2 linked regions of the Daphnia pulex genome follow. The protein of the gene in region 1 interacts with the protein of each later gene in a biochemical or structural test. Links are inferred from orthologs where the notes say so. Each region holds a gene or a part of one and is shown on either strand. Other genes may lie near its edges. The genes, in order: peripheral plasma membrane protein CASK-like and protein nervous wreck-like.

Region 1 (10,679 bases):
CTTACACAACGAAAGTTGGAGAGCAATACAAGTCCGAGCTGGTGCATTTTTTAAGATGGAAAAGTTTCTTGTCTGGAAGCGTGGGCAACAAGTCTGACAACTAGAGTTAAGTTTCATCCTGCTGTTCACTCGCTTCGTTATTATTCGAAAGGAAAAATCCTAGTCAAATGAATAATTGTTTGCGGGTTTTTACCTTGTTCTCGTTTGCTCTTTTCCACTGTCGAACAGGCGATTCGCCACTCTTGCAACTCGGGAGAAGGGACCAATCCAGCGGGTGCCAACTCTCCGGCACCGTCCTTCCTGGCTTGCCACCATCGGTTGTCGTCCTTGCTAATAATCTGCATTGTTTAAGAAGAGAACAAGTCGAGTCATGAATATCGAATGCCGCAGTCGGGTGAGATAATGAATACAAAGGAAATGCAATTGCTCATGTCTCTTGTGTCACTCAAAAATTGATATTGTACAAACCTGCAGGATGTCACCCGTCTTGAAAGCAATGCCAGCTTGAGCACAGGGGATAGTGTCGTCTCCCAGCGGGTCGTAATCGAATTGGGCTCGGACGTAGATCTGCGATGTTTTCGGAAATCGAGCCGTTGCGGAACAAATAAAGAAAGAACGAGACCCGCATTACAAAAGAATGATGAAAAACCGTCACACCGGCTAGTTTATTGAACATTCCAAAGCTAACAGTAGAAAAGGATAAAAAGAAACTTAGAAATGGCCTTTTTTTAAGAAGTAGATATGCAGCGTCGGGGAGAAAAAAATGAATGAAAATTTGAAATTTTTTAAAAAAGGAGATTGGACCAGTAAAAAATTCTAAAACAAAAAACAAGAGGAATGTATATAAAAAAGAAAGAAAATATATGCATAGTAGATATATATTTTACTTTGAAGGGGAAAAAGCAAAACAACAAATAAGAGGCGGAGAGACGTCAATAATGGCATGCATCAATCAAATTGCTACATCAAACAGAAAAGGTGGGAAAAAAGGGGGAAAAAGTCGGAGGAGAAAAAGAAGGATGCGCGAGAACCAAATCAAGTGGTTTAGTCCATTGACTACATCTTCGCCAGATTCCTTTTCCCACCAGATCCCCCTTCTTTTTCGTTTTTTGTATTTTTTTTTTTTTTTTTGTATTTGAGTACCAAAACAGATCGTGCATCAATTAAAGGAAAGGGAGAAGGAAGTGGAAAGTCGGCTCTGAAGTAATGACTCTTATTCTTTCCTTGTGTGCAAAGTAGTGGAAATGACAAGAGAGAGTGTGTATGTGTTTAATAAACACTGTTTATATAGTAGGGGAGTAGTGACAATAGTATAAATAAGAAACGAATCAACCCAATAACTTTCAACTCCAGAGCGGAGGCAATTTGGCAAAAAGAAAATGAAGAGAAGGGATTTTTTTTTTAAGTTTAAAAATAAAAGTGATGGGCAACACGGAAAAAAGAAATAAAAGGCCTTAACTATTTACTCTCCCGGTCGAAAAAAATAAAATAAAAATAATTACAAGTAAAAAAACAAATAATAATGATAATGAAAAATAATAGCAACCCCGTAGAACTTGACTTGTTAAAAAAAGGAAAAAACAGAAGACTGATCGATTATCATGAGACAGTACTTACAAGAACCGGCTGTGGATTAATCCTGAATAACTGTTGTTTGGGAAGCGGGAAATGGAACGAAATGCGAAAGATAGAGAGAAAGAAAAGACCAAAAGGGACACACAGAAAAGAGACCGGCCAAAAAATGAAACATCAATATATATATTGCCGTTCACTGATACTGTAAATAAAATATTCTTTTTCCAATCTAGACAGATAGGCAATAGAACCAAAGTGTTTCTAGTGTCATTTCTCCGCTTAAATTTTCTTACTTTATCTTTTATTTCCGTTGGATCGACGGGAATAAAAGTGAATAGGAAAATTTCATCATATTTGACGATTCCACGTGGGCATTTCTTTTTTAAAAAGTTCGACTCTGGTCCATTTTCAAGACAATCGAAAGTTGCCCATGCACAAATTGGATATCACAAGAAATATGAACCAGGAGCGGCATAAATTTGTTTTGTCTTTTTCTCTTTCCCTTTCCAAACTAAAAGGCACTATGGTACCACAATAACATACTCAAATATCACATGAAATAGTTTCATTCTCCGTTTCACTCTCTCTTGGCTTTGGAAAATGGCTTTGGAGAAAGAAAGGGCGAATCACAAAAGAGAGAGAGTTCCATAGAGAGACTCTACCTACTCTCATCGACTGTCTCATCTTAAAGAGTGGTCAAAAGGAAGGAAGATTGTGAAAGAATTTTTTTTTTAAGGGTGAAAACTGGACTGCAATAGGAAAAGAGTTGTGAAAAGAGGAGAGGAAAATGTATATCTGTCAGTCAGTCGTCGTTGCGTCGACATGAGGAGAATCGGAGGATAAGGAGTGAACGTGTTTGAGGAAAGGATAGAGATCAGAAGGACGAGCGTAAGTATGGATGAATCGAGATGGATGTTGTCGTACCTCACAAGGCGGCGGGGCGCTCCGGTACGACGGCACAATCTTGAAGGTGACCGATCCGCGGGCTTCTCGCTGCAGGAAACACGCAACATGAGAGAGAGAGAAGGGAATCCTGAAATCAATACTCTCTCTCTTTCTCTCTCCTCTCCCTTCTATTTTGCTCCTCCATCCGACTCGCTCCGGTTTCTTCGTCCCTTTTTTCCCTTCCACTCTTCCGACCAATCCCCACTGTTAAGGTTTACATATACTTTTTTTTTCTTCTTCTTCTTCTTCTTATCCCATAGCTATTCCTTTTTCCTCCCCGGCGTTCGTTCTTCATTCGGCGTCACCGCAATATTCCAAAATTTCCTCCCGCATGGTAGGCTGGGCGTTAACTTCGTCGTTCTCATTTGCTCATCGAAATAGATCCACCCACATCGTTTTCCGCTTTCCGACGAAACACAAAAGCTGAACAAAGTGAAGTTGCCTCACGCAGCCATGCTGTATAACTAACTCGACGGTGGGCAGGGGTGGATGGGCAGGTATATAGTCGGTATCAGGTAGGTGGAAGGGATGCTGATGGAAAACTCTTGCACGCCTCGAAAACTCTTTACTCCGCAATTCTCTGCCATTACATTTTCATTTGTTTTTCCCTGCTAACCAACGGACGACGTCGTCTACTAAACCCGCGGGAATAGAAACAATTTCAAAATAAAATAAAGCCGTGACAACGCGCGCAGAGAAAACAAAAGCAAGGCGGAAGCTAACGCCCATATTTCTTTTTTCTCTTTTTTGTTTTGTTACTTCCTTCATTGTTGGATGAAATAGGAATGGAGGACGCCCTCACCATCGACATCAGGCACCATTGTTGTGCCTCCTCTCGAGGTAAAGCAATCTTATCTTTGGGTGGGCCGAGTATTTTTGATTTGCGAGTCGACAGGAGCGCATTGATCTTGAAGGCTCTTCTAACCTAACCTTTTCGGCGAAACCTCATCTTTGCCTGGCTCGGCTGAAAAGACACTTAACGCGTGCGCTCTCCGTCGACCCCAATCTCTCCCCCGACAGCTGACACTTCCTCGAAACTAAACGGATTCCATTCTTCACCTCCAACTGCTACGTATTGCCTTTAACTGCATTTCCTTTTCCATCAAATTGTATCTAACTCATTTAGAGCCTCATCTATTTCTCCATCCTCAACCGGTAGTCTCCGCCGTATAGATTTACGCAACCGACCACTCCACCACACAAGTGCCCCCTCACCCTCCCCCGACCAAACCCCTTTTTTCTGAATACTCCCTCCGGAGTGGATTTTCGGGCCGCGTGTAGGAGGAGGCCCGTTCACGGCATTCGCCGAAGTGATCGTGAAAGACTCGACTCGTTACTTAGCGCCCGCTATACTGCACGACCCGCTTGCGACTTTTTGGAAACGGGATAGACGGCCGTACGTGACGTCACCGTATCTGTAAGCATCGACCAGAAATGTGGATGCACAGCTGACGCCCAACAACAAACTACTAATAGTATTACACTGTTATGATTACGGCCGTGGTATCGTTCGCCACTGCGACTACTCTCGACGCGTGCTATTATAACGGCCTTAGTATTCCAGGCGAGAAAGCAATTACAACTATCAGCTGCAACTGGACCAACTTTTCTGTCTAAAAACCAAAAAGAGAGAAACCACTCGCCTACACCCGCTGGAAGAAGGAAAAAAATGACCACTCTGCTATGTCGAAAGGCATCCGTACTTGTCTGTCGGCACAGCACAGCTTGTCTAATCCCAACCCGCAGATTAAAATCCCACTACAGACGCACATATACATATAAACAGAGAATAGAGATGCGGCAGTATTGAGTAAATGCTGCAACATATAATTACTCATCCGATTCCCGGCTCAAGCTGATTAGCGATTGTCCGTCTTCGTCTCTCGATTCCCAGTGGGCTCTTCCCTCCCCCCCCCTTCCACCACCACATCCCTCCCTGAAGGAGTCTTTCAAAGATTAACCGGAGCGAGAACGGAAGGAACGTTCATCGACTAGCCATTCAGAGCTCTAAACTTTTCTTTGAAAACAAAATCAAATAAAAATACACTACTATTGCCTCACTTCCCTTTCCCAGCCGTCTAGACCCCCGTTTATCGCATTCCACAATAAGAAAAAAGAAAAATGGTGAAGTATATTGAAAAAAGCGATGAAATACCAGTATTTTCTGAAGAGCGTCGACGCTCTTGTTGGCTACAGGCATGCTGTTTATCTCACGAATCTCGTCGCCAACGTGAAGAGTCGCCTGCCGGTGAATCATGCCTCCGTGCATGATGCGTGCCACAATGCAGCGTCCATCTTCCGTAACCTTCAGCGTAATGCCCTAGAGGAAGAATACCAATACCACTTCAATATGGTGCTTGGGATACAAGATAAAAAAAAAAAAAGACACTCTCTCTCTCTCTCTCTCGTCCATCCATCGATCGGCGTCAATGTTAACAACGATGTAGGAGGCCAAGTGATGACCGCCGTGCACAACAAGAAGGCGGGCGTCCGCAGTTATCGATCGACGGCAAATGTTAAAATAAATATATGTGGCAGGCTACACACACACACTATACTATACTTTACAGAGAGCTATACAGTAATTCGTCGTGTTTGCTGCAGTTTCTTATGGTGTGCCTGACTGTACGTACCATCGGCTCGTCGGTATTCTTCTGGAACTGGACCAAACGGACGCGAGTGACGTGCTCTAAAGGTTGAACATCTCCATTGGCAGCTCCTCCAGTTACACCGCCCAAACTGCTGTCTGGTCTGGTTAGACCGTCCAGTGCGTGGGTGCCGTACAAACCGCCCATCGATGTTGACCCAGCGATGGATGAATGACTAAGGTAAACGGGTGGCAGTAGAGGCGGCGGTGTCACTCTGGCTCCTTCTGAATCGTCCCCATAGAATTCGTAACCAATGACATCGTGAGCTTGCAGCAAAGCCTATTATTACAATTAAAGAAAGAATATTAGAGTCGAAAAAAGAAGAGAAATAAAAGTCGATAAGGACATCTTGGCAACAACAGTGACACGCAGACTTTTCGGACAACTTCCTCCCCAGCCAGACTTGAAAGAGAGGATTGCCGACCCCTTCGTTTGTCAACTTTCATAAAGGCAAAGGATGATGCATTACAAATGGAGACTTACATAAAACACGAGAACGAGAGGCGGACGACGGGCGACGCAAGTTACCCGCCGTGACAAAGCAGAGGAGAAAAAGAAAAGAATAAATGAGGAAAAAAAAAGGATATGGGCAAATTGGCCGGACAAAGAGTCGTCAGAATGCGATTACAGTAAGTTGGGCATTGAGAAGATAGAGTGAGTTTGATTAAAAGCAGAGAAAGAAGAGTAAAGAAGCGGTCTGTCGACCCCACATCCATTGGCAACTTTGCTATTCCAACTTTTACTCCCGCTAGACCTAGATTGCCTGCTGTACCAGGTTTCGCTTTTTCCCCCCTCTCACTCGCGTCGCAACAGTTGTATACAGTCCGCCGAGACTCGACCGTCTCGTCTGCGATATGCGCTCGGCGAGGAAATATCTAGGCTTCCCCGTGTGAATCGAACCAAAGTGAAACAGCGGCGCGGAGGGCAGAGTAGCATTAGTAGTGTTGCTTTGGTGATGGTTACTCACAACCTTGTTCCCGACGTCCTTTAGTTTAGAAATTGTCGTTTCCACAGTGTTGCCCCGGTTGTCGTTATCGAACCGACTAGATCGACTTTTTCGCTTGATCCTTCGTTTCATCGCTACACTTGATTATTCACCGGGATGAGCGTGAGCGCTCTTTTCAGCGAATCGAGTTACTTCCTCGAGCTATTGATTTGTTTGCAACGTTGCGCGTTCATCCTCATTGCTGACAAAATTGTAACGAAATTCAGAGGAGGTCGACCAATTATCAAGATCGAACACGCCCTCTTTCTCTCGAAGAAGAACGGGGGAGGAAAAAAAAGGGGGAGAACAACCAAAGACGACAAGGCGAGGAAGAATAAGAATCACGGCTGGCTGCTTGCGACGTCGACCCAAGCACTGTGTACGCACGAAGGAGCCATCGAGGACGCTGCGATAGGATAGACCGCAATACAAAGCATTGTGTCACAACCCTCAAGTGATCATAATGAAGGGGCATCAACAAAAACCAAGGGAGAAATGAAAATAAAATAAAATAAAAGAACGAAAATCTTTTTGGCGAGCTGTTATCTATCAATTCCATTCCGCATGTAGCCAAGAATAATGACGAATGTAATCTGCTCGAATTAAGCGAGGCATGCGGCGTAATGCTCCACCAAGGACGAATGAAAACCGGCAGAAACGATCAATATTATTACATCACTAAAATGGAAACAAATGTTTTTCCAGCTCGAGTGCGAACGTGTTTCGTCTACACTCGAGGAACTAAAACAACCACCGCGATCCTCGAATCCATTCCATGTCCTTAATCACTTCAGTTTCGACGTTCAAAAAGTGGGCGAAACAAGCAAACAGCTCGGTGATATCAATTTCCTTGGCAACAGCTATTTTTTTTTTCCTTCCTTCGGTTGAAGCGGAGGGACAGTATTCACCAGCGACCCTCAAAAAAGCACTACCAACAACAAGGAATCACTGGTGTGTGCACGGGGACACAATATCAGTGTAGTTGTTACTCTAGCCATCCGCTTTTCAATCGGTGTCTACATCAAAAGTGACTGGCGGTTGGGATGAAAATAAAAAGAATGGGAGACTTTCCATTTTCTGCCTTTCACTCTTGTTCTCGAATAAGTCCTGCGCTTTTGGACGGCGGTATCGATCGCGACGCACAATACCTCACTACTGACTCCATCGTGTTTATCCGTCTAGACATCTATTTGACCATTTATTCTTATGTAAGACACACGTCCGTCCCTTTTTTTTTTTGGAGGGACGTTGAAAAGTAATCTTGGATGTTTCTTTTTTGTCTTTTTGGGTTACAATGTGAATCGCAAGTGACGAAAAGCTACCCCCCACAGTGCTCCTACTTCTCGTTTCTTTCTTCCTCTCAGACTTCCTTTTCATCTTTTGAATTCCTTCCCGTAAATCCTGTTTGGGGTGTGAAGCAAAGGTTTGCCAAGGGACTTGGGATCCTGGTGACCGCCATCCAAGAAATTTCGGTTCAGATATCACGACTCCCTGCGTGACAATTTCACTTTTATGTAAGAGTCAGGCCGCCGTTATTACGTATGGGAAGTGTCGGACCAGCAGGCACAAAAAGACAAGTAGAGAGGTCCGAGAGAGGTCCCCACTTCGAACTGGGCCAATCATCGTGGGCGATGATGGCTGTACACGAACCCACTACTCCACTATAGAAGGCGGAGAAAAGAAGAAGAAAAGGAGCAACAGAAAGAAAGAGAGACAACTCAAAAATTCTGAAAAGACACAGACAAAAGGAGAAAACGCGTTGGTCAGATGATTGGATGCAGGACAACGAGTCAACGACCACATGACTGCCATGGAAGGAGAAACGGAAGGAGAAACGGAAATAGAGGAGGAAATGGAACGTCCAAAAGAGAGTCCTAGAGAAGCAAGAGCCGGAAGGTCGGAGCTTCAAAGGTATACGTATACATAAATATAGATATATATATAGACACACACACATATATATATATGGGGAGGAGAATCAAACGACTCGCTCGTTTGAGAGTTTAATCAACAAAATAGCACCCCCCCCCCCTCTCTACTCGTCAGCAATCTTCTGGGTTTCTAGCCAAGTTGGCAAGTTGATTAGAAAATACAGGCTTTTCTTTTCCTGGAGAAAGCAATTTTACAGCCTTAAAAATGAAAAGAGAGAAAAGAAACGGCAGAAAAAAGGGAAACGAGTCGAAACCTCCCAAAATAAAGAAGAGACGTGGGGGGAAAACATGCTGGCATAAGGAAACAAATCATCTTCAGCCCAGCCAGTTTTTCTTTTCACCCTTCACCCACTGTCGCCGCCGCCTCCTAGATATGAAACATTTGGGGCGTAGTGCCTCAACACACATACACACCCAGCATGTCCACTTTCCGAGCAGAATTCCGCACGCGTCACGGGATTTGCCTCATACTTTTCTTTGCGCTTCCATCCAACCATGTTTTCTTCTTCTTTTACTTCTAGACTGTGTGTGTATACGACACGTTTTTCCAAAGGCAATTACAGTTCCTCTGCCTCCTTTTCACCCGCCTGTCTTTTTTTTTCTTCTCTTTTATACATTGGTGTTGACACGACAACGCCAACGCAATCCTCCTTCAACTAGAAGATTTCGAAACGGTAAGTTGTTGGGGAGGGATTTATGTTTGGATTGGAAGCTTTTTCCATGTTTTACTCTCTCGTAGATTTTAGTCGGCAACTGGCCCAGCAGAGAGGAGAAAGAAAGAAAGATAGGGAAAAAAAACGAAATAAATACATCAAAACTTGTCACACCTAGACAAACACAACTCACTCTCGTGACGAAGATAGGCCGAGACCTTTCCTTTCGGTTTCCTAGCTTCACTTCCTAATGCAGTAAAAGACAGAGCTGCTGCGCCGTCACAACTCGGAAATAAATGTAGAAAAAAACACTGGGATCAGGACGCACATACATAACGCGTAAGGTTGAAGTAGGGATTTTACGCACGTACGGCTCTTTCTCCTACTGAAACGCCTCCTTTCATTTTTCTCCCTTTTCGGTGTATTTCATTTCCCAAAGCCCGGCTGTTAGGCATATTCTCTCTTTCTGTGTGCAACTAAAAGAAAAAGAAAGAGATGCGCATTGCCCAGAGCTTGCTGAAAGCGACAAACGAAGGGTAAACAAGGAGAAATTTTCTAAAACATCTTTTATCTCGTCCAACTCAACTAGAAACAAGGGCATTTTGCACCATATTCTAATAGCGGGCGAGTGCTATCGACTCGCCGAGGTTGTGTACAATAATGGGTCTGTGCCAAAATCCGGGACGGAATTCGTTTTCCAACGAGGCAACTCGCTCGTCTCTCTCTCTTGCTCTTGACAAAGCCCAAAAAGAAAGGAATAAAAAGAAGAAAAAGGCTCTTCACCCACTCACTTCCGCCAATCTACATGCGACATTAATTTGTTCTTTGAAATTCTCTCTCAAGCGGATAACATCCTTTTTCTTTGCATTGATTCTCGCAAATCAACTCTGTATGTGGGGCAATCAACGCTTGATATCAGCGCGCCATTCAAAAATATAACCACGCCCTCGGACAAGTACACCCTCGACGTTTGGGCTTAATGACAGCGGAGCGGAGCCGAAACGACCGACAAGATGAAGCGATGTTGACGAGGATCGACTCTCTTGTTGCCTTATAACTATAAAAGATATGAGAAAGAAAACTCCGTCGAGGTCGTGCCGAGTTGCACATTAAATAAGGAGGAAAGGAACATAACCCCCTCCCCCTCTCCCCTACCCCCCAAAAAAAAGTAAGGAGCAGGAATAAGAAGGCGACGCCAGTAGACTCCGTGATGTAATCGAATCACCCCGGTTTGGGTGTAGGAAGAACGAATTTTCTATATGTATCAAAGAGAGGGAGAACGGGAGCACGTAGGAGCTGGAGAGAGGTTGGATGCAACAAACAAAATGGGCGGATGGATGGGTAGAAATGAAAACACTTTTCACATCTCATCCCGAAACGAGTGAAAGTAAGTGGGAGCAATCATCAAAGGCGCTATGAGAAAATCAAACGTAAGATAAAGTGTGAAGATGGCAAATGTCTCGTGATGGGCTTTTCTTGAATGCGCGCTCAACTTATTTATATTTCGCTTTCTCATTTCTCATTTAGTCGTCCAAACGCACGAGACGGTTTGCTGCGTATCGATCAATAAAGAGAAAAGATGGAGATCGCAAGAGAGAGAGGGCGTGGAGCTCGACAACTTTGATGTAAGAGCCGCGAGCGCAGTGATCTACAGCTCTACACCCAGTGGTAGCTATCTGGATGGTTGAATCCTTCTCTCTCTCTCTCTTGCCATAACCAACGCGGACCAAAATATCAACACTGGTTGAACCAGGCAAGGCATTGCATATATGATTGAATACAACCGTTTCAAACTACTATGAATGGGAAAACAAACCCTATTCCGACAGCTAACTCGTTTTGTCGAGCTCGACGCAGTGCGCACGCACACCTACACACGCACCGACAAGAACGTGACAATAAAGTGAAACTGATTCAGAAACTTTGTCGCCTCGCTTGACTA
Region 2 (10,744 bases), on another chromosome or scaffold:
ACTTTAGAAATTAAATTTTTCGTGTCATTCATTCTTTTTGCTCATTCTCGTCCGAGAAAAAGAGAGAGAGAGAATGGACCCTTACCCAGTTTGCGCCGTTTCAGCGGAGAATAAGCAATACTCCCATAGGTGGCCCATGACGGGCGCGTCCGCCCTGAAATCGCGACGGACGAGAGAGGCAACGGACAGACACAAAAACGCACACACACAAAAAGTGGCCACAGACGGACAAAAAGGGAACACCGATAGTGGCGAAATTAATGAAAAATTTCAATTAAGACAAACACAAAAAAACTAATTGTACCCGGCACCTTTTTTTGCTTGTGGTTTTTTTTTCTTTTAAATTAAAAATAAAAATCGGAGAGAAAAAGAATTAGCGGAAAAAAGGGTATCACAAAGTGCACAGCAAAAATAATTAATATAATAGAAAAAAAGGTGTGCAGAATATAAGAGATAGACACGTCCTAAAAAAGACTTGGTTTTTTTTAATGGTGGAGGGAATGAAACTTTACCGAGGGACCAGTACATCTTCCGCGATCACGAATTCCCACATGTGGGCTAAAACTGCAGCGTCGGCCCTGGTTTGGCAGGGGGTGATTTCATAACATTTTTTTGTTTGATCAAATTATGATTAAAATATGAAATTTTCATTCCCCCCAATTCCCAGAACCACCCCAATATTTGATGCAAGAAATAGACAACCAGTGAATTGAATTTGGATTACTTACCAAGAGTGTTCCGCATTAAATCCAACCTAAAAAACAAACAAATTCAATTTGTAATTAAAACGAAAAATGATTTTCCAAAATGACGAGAAACTCACGCGTCCATTTTTCCCTATGACCAGCGTGAATGACTTGTCAAACCAACGGTCGTAACCCTTGCCGTGGAGCAACGTCGCACCGAATTTGTCCAGTTGGGTGTGATCATCCTGATGCATTAAAATTAAAAAAATTAGACAAAAATATAGAGAAAGTAAAAGAAAAGATTGGCAAACCGGATCAAAGTTGAAATCGTCGTCGTCAAACGACACCATAAAGGCAGCGCCTTCGACGACGGACAAGGAAACTTTGTTCAATCCTTTGGAGAAAAATTCCTGTCGGCACTTGGCCCATGGGATGCGGTCACCGGCAGTCAAGGCCGCCAATTTCTCCTCGCCCGGCTGGATAGCAGACACGTCATCGAGGACCTTCTGCAGCGAAATTTCCAGCTCGCAAGGACGGAGCAAACGGCCCTTGTAGTACAGGGGGACTTTAAAATATTTGCCATGGCAATAGACGGCGATGTGAGTCGAATCGTCCAAGTGGATGATGCGATCCGTTTCGATCCCGGGAGCTCGGGTCGTGTTGAAGACGCGCTCGTACTGAAATGAGCACAGTGGCACCGTTCCCTGGACCATGATGGGTTCCAGCTCTGAGCGTTCGATAGCTCGACGGAAGAGCAAAGCTTCGTAAATGATGTTGGCTGCACGGGCCGCCGGATTTCTGGTCGGATGCTTGAAAAGAGTGTCTATTCCGTAAAAATTAGAGTTGACCATGATGGGAGAACGGCCACGCAAGTAAACGTATTCCTCCCACCAATCGGAAACGTAATTGGTTGACCACCTAAAATCATTCGCATTTGGTTTGATTAAAATATTTTTCAAATTAAGGAACAAACAAATGTTTTACATTCGCTTCAAGTAGAGATAGCGCTGCAGCTTTTGTCCAATACCACGAACAAATTCCAGTGACAACTTTTCCATGCGGGAGTACTGGGCGTCATCCAGCAGCGGCCGGACACTTCTCAAATACTAAATAAGATACAAATAGTCAAGCACTCATCGATATTTGTCAAATTGACAAGTTGATACAAACCTTTTCACGAGTGGAAGACAATGACGGAACGGGAAGAGTGGGTAACATGCCTTGAAACGAGTAGAGCTGCGGTTGGAAGAGGCGGAAGAATGGTTGCATGGCCAAAAACCAGGCTCGAGTAGGTAAACTGACTTGTCTACCGGCACCTCTTTCCTCGTACATCCATCCATGATACTTGAGCAACAAACCCATCAATTGTCTCAGCGAAAAAATGACTCCAGCCCAGCCGGCAAGACCTAGAATGGCTGAACACAGCACCCGATATTCGACAGAATTCCTATTTTTCAATAGAGAAATTAGTACTATTTTAATTAAAAAGTAAATCCATTGGTTAAATACTTGGGGAAGTGGACAATTAGCTTATCAGTTAGTCCACATGTCAAATCATATCCTGACTTTTCTGCACCAATAAAAACAGCCTCAGTCATAACCAGGGAGCGAAGAGAACCTGGGAAAAAGTTGGACTTGAGGTTTGTCTGTAAGGTTTAAAATTGAAAGATTAGTCGGGCACAATTGCTAGGCATTCAGAACATTTCTGAACCTGAAAACGAAGTCCCCTCTTCCTCCATGAGCGAACAGCACTTCTGGCAATAAGCCTAATGACCTGAAGTAGAAAAACCATTTTGACCGTCACAAAACAAAGCATTGCAATTGCATAGATTTTACCTCAAAGTCAAAGTTGACGTCCAAACCTTCATGGGTGATGGCAAACGAGAAGGCAACAGCTTGATGTCCCTCCGCCATCTTTCAGTGAATCTGTTGAAACCAGCAAATGAAACAAGCAATGATTACCAAGTCTGCGATTCAAATCATCCAATGAACTGCATAATCCAAGCACTAGACAAAACGCATAATACCGTGTAACGCGACCAAAGGGTATGAATAAAACCATAAAACGAACGGGAGAAAGTAGAAGAGAAACGTATGTTTACAACTTACTATCGACGTGCTGAAGGCTGTTGAACTTGGCTAATAATAAAACTGAAACAAACCAACTCGTTTCTACTACGGAGATTCAACGAAAGAAGCGATTTACACATGATTAAGCCAAGGCTGGTTTAAATTACCTGATTGAAACGTATGTAGCTCGTTGAGAGTTTAAAAATTACGGCAAATGTGGGGCAGCAGGTAAAACAACTTTGGGTTGTTGTAGCTATCTGGTGCAGGCAGACGATTCGCCGTCTGTGAGGCGAATGAATATTGGGACTCTCTTAAGGCAATGTAACGGGGCTTATGGGGGCTCGTCTTGAACGCAGAAAGCAGGTTGGTTGCCGAAATTAGGTGAAGTCACAGCACTCGGCGTTCGTGTGTTGTATAATAAAAGGTTTTTTTTCTTTCCCGGGTTGAACGTCCGGGAGAATTTCCTCTTCTCGTGGTGAATCAAGGTTGCCAAATCATCAATGGCTATTCAAACATAACACTCAGCTTTTTTTATTCCTTTTGTTAAATAATCAATCCATTCAATTGTTATTTTATGTCCTCAAAATATTTACTATCTGTAATTTTACACGTGACACAATTATTGACAGACTGATAACGGTACGGGTTTTTTTTTATTTACCATCCCAGCATTCTTTAGGAAAATCCCTGAGTTGTGGCGAATGTTTTTCCGGAAAAGAGAAATTGTTTCTATTTTGCATTCTTTTATTTGATCTTTTCAAGGTCTCACATCATATTTTCTTTCATTTTGTGCATAATTGCCTGTTGTTTTTGGCAAAAGCCTCAGGGAAGCTTAAATATAATCCCGTCGTTTCTGGCTTTGAGAATGAAACAAAATATAATCAAAGTTACTTTTGCGCGTGTCCTTCAGGACTTGTGATGACACCAGAAAGGAAATGCGACGTTTAACTAGTTATTTGCAGCCAACTCATTGTCGAGGTCATGGAGTACGACTAGCTGGAAATTTCGCCGATCCTTTAGTAGTTTAATCGAGCGCTAGAGGACTCCCATCCATGCGTGACTGTCGTGATTGTGTAGACTAAAGTTTGTTATCTTTTTTAACTATATATGTTTACTACGGTTTACTAAATGGCTAATCAAACTTAAAATCATTAAAAAATAAATGTTGCGGTGAACAGTGTTATTCCTAACTTTATCTTAATTAATGAACCTAGTTTACAAACGCGCTTCTCTCGCCTCGGGTGGCGTGATGCACCTGAATTTTTCACGCAAAAATCAAATGGATTAGACAAAGTGGGGGGGTGAGACTGTGTGTATTGGGGAATGACCAAGGTAATAAGGAGCTCAGAATTAAGAACAGTAATCTCAAATGTCAAACGACGATATAGCAGCGGATCTTACACACACACACGCAAATGAAATATTGTCACAAAATGAAAAGGAGGAGAGTATTTACGATTACTTTTTAAAAATCTCATTATTATCTGGTTTACAATTTTCCCACAGACACTACAAGTGTTAAGTTATTTTGAAATAAAAACTTGACTTGTTGTAAATCTAAAATATGACAAATGTTTGGAGAATATGGAAATGGACTAGTGAAAATAAATATAATTAATTGGAAATAAGTTACGGTTGGACTAGTTGACTCCTCTTATCTTACAAATGAGTTGACATCAGCATTGAAACACCTGGATAATAAGCAAATAGAAATCTTGTTTTGTTTTTTTTCTTTTTTCGAATTTGTTATTTGTAAAAGGGTTGGAGAATTGCCTATGTAATCGAACAGGAATTTCGCAATCGTTTTTCTTTATCGAACCAATCAAGGGATGACACCTATCAATTTTTTTTTAAACGACATGGAATCGACTGCTGGGACTAATAGAATGAGATCATCATCCAGACTAAGGGCAAATGTTTGACAAATGCCTTGAACATGTAAAAGATATTTTGACAAGCTTCTATGAAAATGAATCAAAGGAGTTGGTTTGTATATAATAATGTCCCGTTGTGCACCTGAAGAAAAAAAAACTTACTATTTTACGTTACAATGGGAACAACCCGCAAATGAAAGCCTCTCTGTGATGTTAATTATTTGCTGGACCTGAATTGGAGTGGAGAATGGAATGGTGAGTGTGTGTGTTTTTCAAAAAGGTTATTGGGGAGGAATGTAAAAAACAATTATTGCTCAATGAGCAGCAGTTGAAATGCATGAGGGCCCATACAGATAATGTGGGTTCTTCTCTAGGCGTAAGATTCCTTGGCAGTTTCCAGTTGGACAAACTCGTCGTCGAATCCTTTTCTGACCACAGTCTCGTCAGCGATTGGTGCTGGCGGCGGCAACGGTTGGTCTAGTGATGATGACGACGTTTCGGTTGTTGATGGCTCCGGTGCTGGTGGCGGAGGCGGTTCCATCTCTTCGCCGAATTCTTGTTCCATTTCGTTTTCCTTGTCGTCGGACGTCTTTTCATCTGTCGGGTTGAAACATTTGAATTCGTTTTCAACCATGGGGGTCGATGCCGTCACGATGATCTGAGTGCCAGACAGTCCGTCAGTTATCTAAAATTAAAAAAAAAAATTATTGATTTAGAATGAAATGGACTTTCAACGTTCTACCAAATGTTACCTGGCCGTTGTTGTTTCCCTCCTCTTCAGTGGGCGTGGCTAAAAAGTAAATGACAAAGAATTGATTAGGGGGAAAATTCGAATCGAATTAAAAGATTTACCTGGCTCGACGTTGATCATTTCTGAAGCAAGATCATCTTCGTCTTCATCCATTTCCTTAATGGTGGCGTTCTGGTCGAACATGTGCTCTACTTGATCATTCAAAAAAAAAATTCAATTAAGATCAGATCAACTACATGAAAATGAGGGACTATTTGTTGTACCATGATCATCAGGGAATTCCGTCTCGGGAGTAGGTTGCGTGATTATGACCCGTTCAGGAGGCAGGAGGAAAGTAGGAACAACTGGAGGGCTGCCCGGCGGAGGCACTGATTCCTCTTCAGGTGTTGCAGGCGACACCTGTGAGTCCAATCCATTACGTTAATAAATATTCTGCCATACTTGTTATCATCGAAATAATCAAATGTTTTACTTTTGGCGTCAATTCTTCGCCGTTGGGACCGCATTCTTCGACAACCAAAGAAGGGAAGACGCCTCGAGTACCGTCCGTTAGGAGCTGACCCTCCCACCATCCATCGTCGACGTCCTGATCGTGTAGAGCACCGGATCGACGGAAAATGGCGATGACTTCACCTTCGTAAAAGGTCAACTCCTCATCAGACGTGGCGTCGTAGTCGTACATGGCCCGGCAGTAGCCGATGATTCGGTTTGTTTGGCCATCAGCGGCAGGAACTGGAGATGATTCCACGACTGGGGCAGCAATGGGTGGAGGAGGTGGAGGTAAAGGAGCGCTTTCGGTCGGCCCAGGGAACTCATCTTCTTCTTCGGCGCTCATTCCTTGCTGCTGGTACGTGTAGTCGACTGAAGAAAAGGAAATTTGGTTCTCCAACGGGTAACCTCCTTCCGCTTCTGCACTAACGATTTCTTCTTCCTCTTCCTCGTGCCCTTCTTCCGGCTCGACTTCCTCCGCAATAGCTGGATGTTGATGGACGTTCTGGTTGGCGTCCTCGTCACCTCCACACGGCACCTGATCGTCGGCGTGCAGGTCCAGGTAATTTTCAGGCACGTAGCCTTCCTCTCCCTTGTAATTCCGGGCTTTGACCCATCCGTCGCCTTCGGAAAAGGCCAGCAACACTTCCAGCTCTTCGTTTTCCATCATGGAAAGCTCGTCCGCATTTTGTGCCTATTTCCCAAACGGAGGAATAAATTGAAAGATCAAAAAGGAACTATAAAAATGATATCAACGTACCGTGTAGGGATAGAACGCGATGCATTTGATGACGCTGGCATCTCCACTGGCATGCACCGAATCCGTGACGCTGCTGGCAGTTTCAATTTGTACAGACGTGGTGGTCGTGTTGGCGGCGGAAGTGTTGAGCTGAGCGGCGTCGTCTCCCCAGGCGTCGGTTGTATCCCAGGCGGCCGTCGGATCTTGCCACGTTGCCTGCATTTCAGCAATTTGCTGCTGTACCACTTGCTCGACTATTTTGAAAATCAAATGCAACTCATTAGTCATTCCAGACTGATCTGACTGGCATATGCATAATAGATTTTTTACCGAAAGCTTCGTCAGCAGCTTCTTCCTCTTCTTCATCCTGCTGAGTTGTTTCAGCACCAGCGCGAGAGCCGCTGTCGGAGAATTCAGATTCCTCGTGAGCCGATTCCTTCATTTCAATATTGAAAATAAACTTTTGATTTGAATGATTCATGAAGGTGTTTCTAAGGCAAAACATACTCGGAAAGAAAGCTGGCTAGAAGATCTCATCAATCCAAGAGTCACCAGACCCTCTGCGTCTTGAAGGAATTCATCTACTTTGACTGCACATGAATCAAATGTTAGTCAGAAATTTGGGAGGTGTGAATTTAAACAATTTACCTCCACCAGCATGAAGGCACTCCAATCGAGCCTCAGCTTTTATTTTGGCAGTCTAAGAAATGTAAACATGTCGAGATGGCTGCACAAAAGCAATATTACTACAAGTCCAATACCTCTGAGCGCCTCAATTGGTTTTTTATTTCATCGATTTTGGCGTCAATATCAGGTCCGTTGGGTTCATTCGGATCACTCTGCAGAACAAAGAAAACAATAGTAACTATACATTCAAACAAAAAGTTTGGGAAAAATAGAAACCTTCAAGCCACTCTCTTTCATGCCCTGTAGAGTTTGCAGTGTCCTCGTCGATTCTCTGATCTTTTTGGATTCTTGGGCGACACGAGATGCATATTGTTTTCCACTCTGAATCAATCCGGCACCAGCTCCGTGAGCTTGATCCACCTGTTTTTAATCAACGAAAAATTTCGAACGAAAAGTTGGTGATTATTCGACTCGTGTGTTTTGTTGACACAGACGCCATCTTTGATTTGAAAAAGCAATTATCGATTTTATTCGTTAGATGGCGAGGCAAACTGACCGTCGTGATGACGTCATTGTCACAAGGCTCAAAGTCGTAAGTGATATGCTGATTGAGAATTGGGAAGGCGTCGACGAAACAGGCCAGGTCGTAGTCGCGATTGATCTATAAAATAAATGGACAGAAAGGAAATAAGATTTCGCTAATTAGATTGGGTTGGTAAAGTAATAACAACGTACGGTTTGGGCTTGCTCTTTAATTTTGCCGAAAGAGAATTGAGAGGCGGAGCAAGTATAAAGTTCCGTCCGACTCATAATGGAAAAGTATTCGGCCACTTTTTCGTACATTCCGCCGTCTAACGTCTGCAAATTGGATTAATCAGACGAAAAATGTCAGTACGCCGTTGATCAAAAGATTGTTTATTAAAGATGGTACCTTGACGACGTTTTGCAAATCAACGTGAAAGTATCGATTCTGATGGGCGTTGGCTGAAGCAAGTTGAAGCAGGTAGGCGTTTCTGGCTTGAGTCGATTTCTCCTCACACAAATCCCTTCGACTCCCCAACTGGCCAATGCAAATATAAAATTGAATTGATCAGGATTTTTAAAAATGAACCAAACATTTGACACCTACTTTGGCCGATGTCTTCTGTAAAGAGGAAACCGACTGGAAGATGCTACCCTTTTTCTTCTTTAGCCTAAAAATAAAAACAATTTGAATTAAAATAATGGATTGAATTGCAGTTCAAATGGTCAGCATACTTTTCCTCAGCTTCACGGGCCTTGTCACGAGCGTCGTGACTGACATGTTCGTCGTCGACGTAAACTTTTTTCAATTTGTCCAATTCAGTCACGCAAGTTTGCACTTCACCTTGCACCACTTTCAATAGGTCCAGATTCTGGGGATTCATTCGTAAAAGTAAAATCTCAGGTGTCTATAATCGAAAATTAGGGGTTTTTACCTTTTTAGCCAGTTGGAGTTTGTTTTGACGGACGATTTTCACGTCGTCTGCGATTTGCGTTTGGAATATTTCGACAGCGGCCAATTTGGCCTTTGCCAATTTATCCGTTTCCTCCAGCAAAGATCTCCATATTGACCAAACCGTCCTGTAGTCAATCAAATACAATCGATTAACAATTTTTGTTTATACATCAATAGAAATATCCCAGGGTGAGTTAATACCATTGCTGGTTGATTTCGTCGTGATTCAGTTCGTGAATGGGCGGCATTTTCTTGTTGAGGTAATTGGCCGATATCTTCTGCATGGCCTGCGGGCATGTCATCAAAGAGTCAAAAAAAGAAGGGGAGAATGTATATAACATCCGTCAATCAATAGCTCGATGTATAATGTATCTATGCTACACGGCCAGTATATTATGTGTAGGGATCGATATTTCCTGTGTGTGTCTATAGGCCTACCTCGCCGTAGGATTTCTCGACGGCGCATCTTTGCTTGATGAAATTTCTAGTCATTTTCACAAGAAAAAGAAAACACACAATTAAACAGATGCACTTTATCGAATGACTTTTAAGTGTACGAACATACCGCAAGTCTTCTAGGAGTTCGCATTCCTGTTGGTGTTTCCATTGTACCTTGGACAACTGCTCCGCATGCAAATTTCTCAATACCTTTGCATAATTGCCCTGCGTATAAAAGGAGAAATTTCCCAGAAGGGGAGGCGCACAGGAAGAGAAGAATTTTTACATCACAATAGGCAGAGGAGAGAGAGAGAAGATCGATTGAAATATTATAAAAACCTTTCGCGGTGGCGGTTGTTGCTGCGTCGTCGACATTCTACACTCGTTTTGAAACACTTGAAACTCTTGGCTTGAATTAAAGTGACATCAATGTTCAGGTAAAAAATGGATTGAATTCACTTTCAACCGGAAATATGGTTTCACCCGTAAGTTCTGTCTGTCCCAGTCGGCCACTCGCCGCCAATTAATTTTTACTTTTTTCGTCGTGCGGGTGCGTTGCTTTTTTTTTTTCGCACTGACCGGGGCCCGTACACTTTTACACTCACGACATGCGAGGAAACATCGGCCGGGAGAGGGAGGCGGGGGAGAGGAAGAAGAAATCGGAAATCGATTCGGCAGTGCGCGCGCGCGCGCTTCGGCATTAAATCGCGTGAACGCCATCTGGTTGGCAAACACACAACTGCGACGATTATTCTGGATGGAAGACTCCGATGGATCCGATCCGGCTAAAAATCCGCTGAAAATAAAAAACACGAAGATTATGAGGTTCAAATTCTTCTCGAAAAATGTGTAATAACAAATAATTGCATAACAACAATACGCAAGGAATTTTAGTGGATGTATAAGCACCATGTCCCAGTTTTTTAGTTCAATGGCTCACTTGATCAAACACATAATAGCGTGATACTTAATCATCATTTGATACAGACGAACACGGCACAACCACACAGACAGACTTTAGCTAATTGCAGCTAAATTGGAATGAACAAACCGCATTGCACTTCTATTTCTAGTCCTAATTATTGGTTGAATTCTTGTTAGCCTGAGGAGTGGCATTGTGAGTTATTTCAAAATTGTCATGATTATACTTATATATGTACGTTTGCCGAACAAAGCGAGTCCCTGAAAAAGAGTGGAACGGAAAACCAACGGAATAGGGGCCAATGATTTGTTTGACATTAGCAGTGAAATGTGAGCAAATTTGTGGTCAATAATTGTCGCTAAATTAGAATTTTTTCTATTCACACTAAGGGGATGGTAGCATTACTAAATTGTCAGGTAGAGGAATGTTGTGATTCTTTAAAAGATTCTCCATTTCGGCAAGCAGTTTCTTCTGACGTTGGCAGAGTTCCCGATATTTGAGCAGTTCATCCTCGAGAACCTCGCGTCGACGTTTCTCGCATTCGACGTGCCGGACAGCCTGACTCCTCACTGAACGGACCATTCCGTTGAGGATGCGAGCCACTCGCCACAGACGTAAAATGATGAACAAGCCCAGGCCGTTGGTCGAAGAGTGAGAGTGTTGCATCAAGA

What was found.
Region 2: the proteins of peripheral plasma membrane protein CASK-like (region 1) and protein nervous wreck-like form a complex in vitro, tested with the Homo sapiens proteins (2 studies listed by BioGRID and IntAct, with this or other methods). The link is inferred for Daphnia pulex from reciprocal best matches to the Homo sapiens genes CASK and FCHSD2.

What each region holds. Positions count from the first base shown.
Region 1 is NC_060018.1:1,077,932-1,088,610, reverse strand, and holds part of peripheral plasma membrane protein CASK-like, read right to left. Parts: intron 5,448-10,679; coding exon 5,154-5,447; intron 4,841-5,153; coding exon 4,676-4,840; intron 2,569-4,675; coding exon 2,500-2,568; intron 1,648-2,499; coding exon 1,618-1,647; intron 568-1,617; coding exon 469-567; intron 339-468; coding exon 194-338; intron 1-193. UniProt on the Homo sapiens protein: Multidomain scaffolding Mg(2+)-independent protein kinase that catalyzes the phosphotransfer from ATP to proteins such as NRXN1, and plays a role in synaptic transmembrane protein anchoring and ion channel trafficking.
Region 2 is NC_060027.1:7,177-17,920, reverse strand, and holds protein nervous wreck-like, read right to left. Parts: upstream 9,918-10,744; 5' UTR 9,527-9,917; coding exon 9,491-9,526; intron 9,377-9,490; coding exon 9,279-9,376; intron 9,198-9,278; coding exon 9,152-9,197; intron 9,001-9,151; coding exon 8,915-9,000; intron 8,839-8,914; coding exon 8,694-8,838; intron 8,631-8,693; coding exon 8,494-8,630; intron 8,430-8,493; coding exon 8,366-8,429; intron 8,297-8,365; coding exon 8,168-8,296; intron 8,095-8,167; coding exon 7,972-8,094; intron 7,898-7,971; coding exon 7,793-7,897; intron 7,657-7,792; coding exon 7,513-7,656; intron 7,449-7,512; coding exon 7,371-7,448; intron 7,310-7,370; coding exon 7,258-7,309; intron 7,200-7,257; coding exon 7,117-7,199; intron 7,046-7,116; coding exon 6,940-7,045; intron 6,864-6,939; coding exon 6,631-6,863; intron 6,565-6,630; coding exon 5,854-6,564; intron 5,781-5,853; coding exon 5,645-5,780; intron 5,573-5,644; coding exon 5,483-5,572; intron 5,421-5,482; and 5 more. Other genes in the region: carnitine O-palmitoyltransferase 1, liver isoform-like, read right to left, coding at 86-154, 729-754, 824-931, 998-1,604, 1,671-1,792, 1,857-2,133, 2,196-2,332, 2,398-2,460 and 1 more; voltage-gated hydrogen channel 1-like, read right to left, coding at 10,458-10,744. UniProt on the Homo sapiens protein: Adapter protein that plays a role in endocytosis via clathrin-coated pits. Contributes to the internalization of cell surface receptors, such as integrin ITGB1 and transferrin receptor.